Danio rerio: one gene and its partner. The protein of the gene in region 2 interacts with the protein of the main gene of each other region in a pairwise test. Links are inferred from orthologs where the notes say so. Each region holds a gene or a part of one and is shown on either strand. Other genes may lie near its edges.

Region 1 (4,248 bases), on a different chromosome or scaffold from region 2:
CTGTTACTCAAGTGGATTATCAAAAAAGATTATAACAAGTCAGCTGTTTAAAACGTATTTAAATATACATGAAGTCTGTCATGCAAAATCACCAAAGGAAAATCCAGTTAAGACGATAATAAAAAGAAGGAAAAGGGAATGAATAAAATGCATGCATGGATGAATCATTCACAGTGAAAGGTGACTGATGAATAACCTTGTGATTCTGAACAGGAAACAATGGGAAATTCAGAGTAAAGAGTTTGATATACACAACAAACGGCTATGTTTGACACTGAATAAATAGCAGTATCATCACCTGTGTTTGGTACTGAAGAGGCACTTGTGGATCCGATACTGTTGGCTCTAGACACCAAACTTCCTTTACGTGCGCTCTCTGCAAAAAAACCTAGAGATATGGAGGTCAAGGAAAATGTAAATATTTCAATAAAATTGTCATGTGTTTGGTAAGTCCAATATTGCACAGAACAAAGCAAACAGTTTTTAATACTAGTGTTAGTTTTATAGATAAAAAAAAAATAGAATGATAGAATTAGTTTTCATACGTGCATGTTTGTAATTAATATATTAGCTTTAAGTAACTATTATAGAACTAATAACCTTGTTACCCTAGTGCATCACTTTCTTTTCTAAAAATTTCCCAAATGATGTTTAAAAGAGCAAAAAATATTATGTCTGATAATATTTTTTCGTCTGAAAAAAGTCTTATCCATTTTATTTCGGCTAGAATGAAAGCAGTTTTTAATTTTTAAAAGCCATTTTAGTGTCAAAATTATGAGCCCCTTTAAGCCAATTTTTTTTTGGATAGTCTACAGAACAAACCATCGTTATACAATAACTTGCCTAATTACCCTAACCTGCCTAGTTAACCTAATTAACCTAGTTAAGCCTTTAAATGTCACTTTAAGCTGTATAGAAGTGTCTTGAAAAATATCTAGTCAAATATTATTTACTGTCATCATGGCAAAGATAAAAGAAATCAGTTATTAGAAATTAGTTATTAAAACTATTATGCTTAGATATGTGTTGAGAAAATCTCTCTGTTAAACAGAAATTGGGGGAAAATAAAGAGGGGGGCTGTTATTCTAATTTAACATAGTTTCCATTTTTGTATATAGGGATCTATTTTCACTAGTATGTACATCTAGTTTTGGCAACTATGTATTCCAAATGTGACATATTTTATACACTGATTGAAGATTATTTGACACTAGTTTCTATTATTTAGACTCTAGTGCTTTATCGTTACATACTGGTACCTATAAACAGATGCTTTAATAGGTAGTATCTAATGAAAAGTACTTCTATCTATTAAAAAGTACAAATTAATGAGTACTAATGTCGTATCTTTTCACATCTTTTATTTAATGCTATGTCAGATTTACTGGCTATCTTTATGGCAAAAAAAATTCAGAATAAAAGAAATATTCAAACAAACACAAGTTATCGACAGACTTTTTAATCATTAATAAATCATTAATAAATGACAAAAGCGCTAAATTGTTTTGCGTCAAAACTGCTAAATAGTTCACTTAATTTAAAAATAAAGTATTACACAAACGTTAGGAGCAGGACAGTGCACTAAACTATGTTTCTCTCTATGAGAGAGGTTTTCTTCTATGTTTAAGTAGAAATGCATGTATCAATAAGTAATAGTACTTAAAATGATACTAGTATCAAAAAGTACAGGTAGCATGACATTAGATATATTTCTAGAAATATTAAAGACAGCTTGCTATAATAACCTTTCTGATTTTCGTTATTAAAGTCATTTTTTTCATCTTGGTATCGACTGACAGTTGAGACTTATTGATCTACTTACTGTGGTCAAAGCCGTTGTCACTGAAGGTGCCATCCGTCTGCTGAGACATGGTGACAGGAGGTGGAGAAAGACAAACAGAAAAAACAGTCAAAACAAGACACACTGATGTTGATAACCAACCCAAACACAGGCTGAGTGACCTGTCCTGCCTTACACCTTTATCTAGGACACATCTAACTCCCTACTGTGATGTGTCCCAAATAAATCCCTTTAAAAGCTGATATTTCATCTACATACATATTGTGTCTCAAAACTTTCAGATTGAGCAATCACTGCCATATTGTCACAGTGCCATTAGCGTGTGGAAATGAGGGTGTACTTTATTTAGTGCGTATGAAGAGAATAACGTTAAAAAAGGGACAATAAAGAAATCAAACAAAGGGTCAAACAAACAAAAGAAAGAACCTGGTAGAATCGAGTCCTTCAAGGGAGTCGGTTCGGTAGTTCGAACGAATTGTCTGCGCCAAATAAACTGTCAGCCTAGATAGGCAGTTACATACGTTTTGAAACACATCCAGATATAGTCAATGTAGCCAACAAGCAAGTTAGCTTAGCGGTTTCAACTCTTGCACATCTGTTACATAGCTTCCTTAATACTATCAACAACATAGCTTAAACAGACTGTTATTCAAATAAACCTTCAGAATAATAAATGTTTTTGTTTCGGCAGTGATTTGTTTTCAATATCAGCTCTGGAAAGACAGATTAGGGTCATGTGGGAAGGAGGATAATTGTTCTTTGACTTGCTGAACTTTAAGGTTAGCCAGCTGAGCTAGAGAGTGAAACCAAACCCTACGGACCAGCGATTAAAAGACACACGCATCACGAGGGTGATTCTGAAGGAAAGGGTTGTATAAAACCAAAATATGTTTTTTATGTGACTAGTTTTGCTTACTTTTAGCCAGGGATCCTCCGGCGACGCGCTGTTTTCCGTCATTTTGGAATAAACAATGACGGGATGTTACAAGCTGCGCCTCCTAGTGGCCATAATCTGTCTACAAACTTATCCTCCCACAGCGTTTGACACATTTTGGTGCCTTTCGGTTAACTCATTAGTGTTGATTCGTTCATTCACGTTTTCTTTACACATCACGTTAACGTATTAATACAGTCCATATATGCATCAGACTATAATTTATCTATGCATCTCTTAGCAGTATGTGGTCATTTATTCCACGTGGTGGTGCTATAAGAGTTAAAATTAGAGTTAAACATCACTCATTGTAAATGACACGCACGCACGCACGCACGCACACATCTATCTATCTATCTATCTATCTATCTATCTATCTATCTATCTATCTATCTATCTATCTATCTATCTATCTATCTATCTATCTATCTATCTATCTATCTATCTATCTATCTATCTATCTATCTATAGTTGAAGTTAGAATTATGAGACCCCCTGAATATAACTCATAATAACGGTATGTAACTTTATTTTATCTTTGATATGATGACAGTAAATAATATTTTACTAGATGTTTTTCAAGACACTTCTATACAGTGACATTTAAAGACCTAGCTAGGTTAATTAGGTTAACTAGCCAGGTTAGGGTAATTAGGCATGTTATTTTATGATGATGGTTTGTTCTGTAGACTATAATATATGGCATAAAAGGGCTAATAATTTTAAACTTAAAATTATTAATATTTTTTTTTAATTAAAAACTGCTTTTCTAGCTGAAATATTATCAGACATACTGTAAAAATTTCCTTGCTCTGTTAAATATAATTTGGGAAATATGAAAAAAATAAATTCAGACATCAACTGTATATATACTGTACTGTGTATATATATGTGTTAAGATTGAGAGTTGATGAACCCATACGACGAAAGGACCTGGTACACTTCATACATAAGCACACATGATACATTCTATTTAGATATACACACATGACACATTCTATACATACACACACAACACACTCTATACATATGCACACATGACACATTCCATACAGAGATGATACACTATGTACATATACACAGTCCATACATTCGCACAAATGATACGTTCTATACATATGCACTCTATACATATACACAGATGGTACATTCCATACATATACACACTTATGATACACTCCTTACATATACACACACATAACACTCATGTCAGGGTCTGGGATAGAACCCAGGTCTCGGAGCTACTAGGAGTTGATATAATACCTGGACCTGATACACTCCATACACACATGAAATATTCTATACATATATGCACACATTATATACTCCATACATATGCACTCATAATACGCTTCTTACATAAACACACATGATACACTCAATACATATACACACATGACACACACACACACACACACACACACACACACACACATACACACACACACACGCGATACATTCTATAGATATATGGACACATGAAACACTCTATACATATGCACACATGTTAGGG
Region 2 (4,077 bases):
AATATAATAAGCTATAATATTAAGGATAATAAGCTTTTTGAGAATAATAATAATCACAGATGGCTGCCAAGCAAATGTTGACTAAACCCTGCTGACCTATTATACAATTGGAATCGTTACTACAAGACAGCGGCTGTTAAGAACTTTGTATATAAATATGAAACATTTATTTAGTGATTACATGCAGGCTCTTATAGTATATCTGATATGTTCTTACCTGTGTTTTTCCAGCTCATTGTGTGATGACCTTAAAAGAAAGTAAACAGATTTAATTTTAGCGGTAAAAATAGATAAAATATATGTAAGTATATATACTTTAAAAAGTGCACTGACTCTATAAATTATATATATATATATATATATATATATATAATACTAATGAAATGGTGATAAAGTGAACCGATCTGGCATAATAGTGATCTTCCTAAGTACTGCAAAACTGCTGCATTTGCTTTTAGCATTACATATGCAATCTTGTTATTAAACTAGGCGTTATACACAGTTAATATACAAAAGCATCCTTATTGTCATGCAAAATATAAATAATCTAAAAAAAAAAAAGATCACTACACAAATACAATAGGACTGTAATAAATGCATAAAAGAACGAAAGAATGATTTTGATGCTCCCTGGCCCCTACTCACATACACGCACACACTACATTCTATCTAGATTTAAGCTAAATCATTCCCCATATCTTTACTGTGTCTATTAAGCCAATATCACAGTAAGTAAAGCTCTATCAGCATGCATCCAATGACGCAGAGGAAATTCAGCACGCTACAACGCATTGCTATTTTAGTCCAGAGTATGAATGCTAGGGTGTATGATCGGGCAATTACATTTTCTCCAAACAAACAAACCAACAAAGACATTGAGGGATTGCAGTGAAAGCAAGATAAAAGCAAAATATGTAGGTCATAGCATCAGTTGATAATTGTGTCAAAACTGCAGTGTACAGTTTCGGCTCCATCAAGGCCATAATATGGATTTTTCCCCCACATTTTCCTTATATGCTTTTTTGAGTATTAAATAAATGCAAATGACATGCATGTGATAGCAAAGCAAGACAAAGTTGTAAGTCAAAATGTCATTTGTGATAACAGTGCGACTAAAGCTCAATTTTAGCATCTGCAGCTAGTGTAGAAAATATGTTGCTGCTTGGAATAAAAGCTTTGAAATTAAAGTACACGTCTGCAATGCCAGATGTTTTATTTGTTTGTTTATTTGTTAGCTTCAATATGGGAATTTGGGTTTAATAAGAAGCACGTTATTGAGTGTATGTTTTTATTTTATTAAAACAAATTTAAGTCATGAATTTCTTAGACAGCCCTAGATCCGTAGATTTCCCCTTTTTTTCAGTGCTTTCTATGCATATTGTGGGGGAAGGGCTGCACACTGGGCTCCTGCTGTTTTGCTTTGACATTGCAAGGAAAAGGGGGCTAATGCAGCAAAACAGATCCAGGGGTCAAAGCTCTGTAGCAGCTGACTTGGGTCTGCTCACACCACACCCAGCAGTGAGAGTTTAACCACACCTAAACTAACCACACTACTATAAGCATACTGTCTATGACATAAGCATGTGACACAATTTTGAGTTCAGATGTAATGATTGGTCAAAACATTGTTGCAACTCATTGTTTGTTTTTTGATGTGTAAAAAAACATCACTGACACATATTTGAAAATATTCATGCTTACATAACACAATGTAAAGTACAGTAAATAGCTATACGCTTCTAGTTACTTCATGCACGTACGATAACTAATTTGTGCAGTCGTCCTCGGTCACCAAAAAGTTTGTGCTAAATTAAACGACCGGTGTTACAACAAGACAAATGATTGAGTTGAAGACAAATGATTGAGTTGAAGGCAAATGTCAGCAGTGGAAAAGGGAAAGCAGCAGCGGCCGAAAGTTGACGCTGTACGCGTGGCAATGTTTATACACAGCCAAGCCCAACAACAAAAATGGCGAATACATGTAACGTTAGAATACACTGTTGTAATATGTCCATCCATTATAATAGCAATGTCACTGCATTGTATTTACCTGTTGTTGTGGGGTTTTCTTGAAATGGGTGATTTAGTTTTCTTTCTGGAAAAGTCACTATCGTACGGCAAAACAGATGCGTAACCGTGTTCAGCTTCTAGTGAGAAAGTCAACGTAAATAGCATTGAATACAGACGTATGGGCTTTAATGAACAAAAATCAGAGTTATAAAGTTGGACAATTTATATATTTTATGGCAACCCGCTTCACAGTTGACGAATCATGATTTCAACTTAACTTACTGTAAAGCAAACACCCCCACCCCCTGGTTACATTTGACCTAATATTGAAAACGAAACAACATTTTAACAGTGCTAGAAATAATGACATGCTGGTAAGTCAAATCTTTCCAATTATTTAACAGACTTAGAATCCCACGACAACGAGATCATATCTTCCCTCAGGGCTTCAATGAAGATACACTTGATCTACAGACAGGTTTATAAGTGTCAGTCGACCGGTAAATCAACGAAATATCACAAAGAATAGTTTTAGTTCAGCAGATATAATCATGATACCTCTGTCTCTTCTTTCCAAATACTCTGCTGCCTCAAGAAGTAGGAGAAGAGAATTAAGTTCCATCCTGGTGTATTTGCAGAAATAAAATTACACACAACAAAAACGAATGCACACTTTAACAAAAGGTATAAATCAAAGAGAGAAACAAAATAAAAACAAACAAACAAATAAACAAAAAAGTGATGACGCTCGATATGAACGGTTCAATTCTGAGTCGTACAGACTCTCAACAAAAATTAATGCAGACTGCACGTAAACTAAAATCTGGTAATTGATTGATGGTTTCTGTGTCCAATAAGACGACAGAAAAGTATGAAAGGCGGGCCTTAAAAACATTTGTATCCAATCAACGACTTCAAAGAGAGAAATTCACAGGAAAGATGTTGACACATTGCGAAATGTCATATGATTGGCTAGTCAGTGATAGTAACAATGTTGAAGCCATGCCCTAGCAACAGTACGTGCGACCCAACCCCCATATCGCTCATTGGTCTGACGTATCATCCACGTACCCATGATTGGCTGAAAGAAACACAGGGCGTGTTTTCATATAACCCCGTTTAGTAAACTTATGCTGGCAGTGGCAAAGTTGTCTCTGGAAGAACTCAGCGGATAGAAAATGTTTTTCAAAGTCAAGTTTCTGATCGTTCACTAAGGTACATTCACATTAAAATACGAGCGCAAATCACTGATTCGAGTTATAAAAGTAAGGTCATACTGGACACATATTTATTATTAAATGAAACCGTCAAAGTTTGCTTATACTTACATAATTACGTGTAGGGCGCGGTCGGCTCTCGGGTCATCTTTATGTAAGTTACTACAAGTGGCTACTTTCCAAAGCAAGACTTCTTTTCTGATCCTGTAGCTATAGATTGCTGTGTGTGTATTTATTATGTATTATTTAAAAGGTAACAAACTAGTAATTTATTATTGATTTGCCAAAAAAAGTATAGAATAGATAAAAGTATTTGCATGGCAGTAAATAAATATTTCTTATTTTTTTATTTTTCTCTGAAGAACTTGCTAAAAAAATGTTTCAGTGTGTGTTTGTTTGTGCAGTTTACTCAAATATCATTTGTGATTACATACTCACACTCTAGTTGTGATTACAAGGACATTTGCAAAAAAAATCTATAAAAATAAATAATAGTTTACACATATTAATAGTATTTATACATATATCAAGCGGGTAAAACGTGTATTGGACATGTCATGATTTTTCCTGGTAGATATATAGGCTTATAGGTGCTGTTGACATAAAATGGCCCAGATGTTGATAAAACACAAACAAATAAATAAACCAAGAGAAAAGAAAAAAATATTATGTGTAATAACAATGTAGTGGCACAAGAAGAAGACATTGAACTACTGAAATATATTTAGTGACAGCTTTGAGGCTATATAAAGTCTATTTCTATAAAGTCTGATCTTTAGTTCTTATTTTCAACTGGATTCAGGTCAGGTAATTGGCTGAGCCATTCTAGCAGCTTTATTTTCATTTGTGA

The links. The genes of interacting proteins can lie anywhere in the genome.
Region 1: the proteins of mxd4 (region 2) and mlx interact in a two-hybrid assay, tested with the Homo sapiens proteins (2 studies listed by BioGRID). The link is inferred for Danio rerio from reciprocal best matches to the Homo sapiens genes MXD4 and MLX.

Annotation. Positions count from the first base shown.
Region 1 is NC_133178.1:36,012,822-36,017,069, forward strand, and holds the start of mlx (max-like protein X), read right to left. Parts: upstream 2,801-4,248; 5' UTR 2,760-2,800; coding exon 2,718-2,759; intron 1,863-2,717; coding exon 1,823-1,862; intron 389-1,822; coding exon 299-388; intron 1-298. UniProt on the Homo sapiens protein: Transcription regulator. Forms a sequence-specific DNA-binding protein complex with MAD1, MAD4, MNT, WBSCR14 and MLXIP which recognizes the core sequence 5'-CACGTG-3'. The TCFL4-MAD1, TCFL4-MAD4, TCFL4-WBSCR14 complexes are transcriptional repressors.
Region 2 is NC_133176.1:27,718,058-27,722,134, reverse strand, and holds the start of mxd4 (max dimerization protein 4), read right to left. Parts: upstream 2,801-4,077; 5' UTR 2,633-2,800; coding exon 2,569-2,632; intron 2,148-2,568; coding exon 2,051-2,147; intron 248-2,050; coding exon 218-247; intron 1-217. UniProt on the Homo sapiens protein: Transcriptional repressor. Binds with MAX to form a sequence-specific DNA-binding protein complex which recognizes the core sequence 5'-CAC[GA]TG-3'.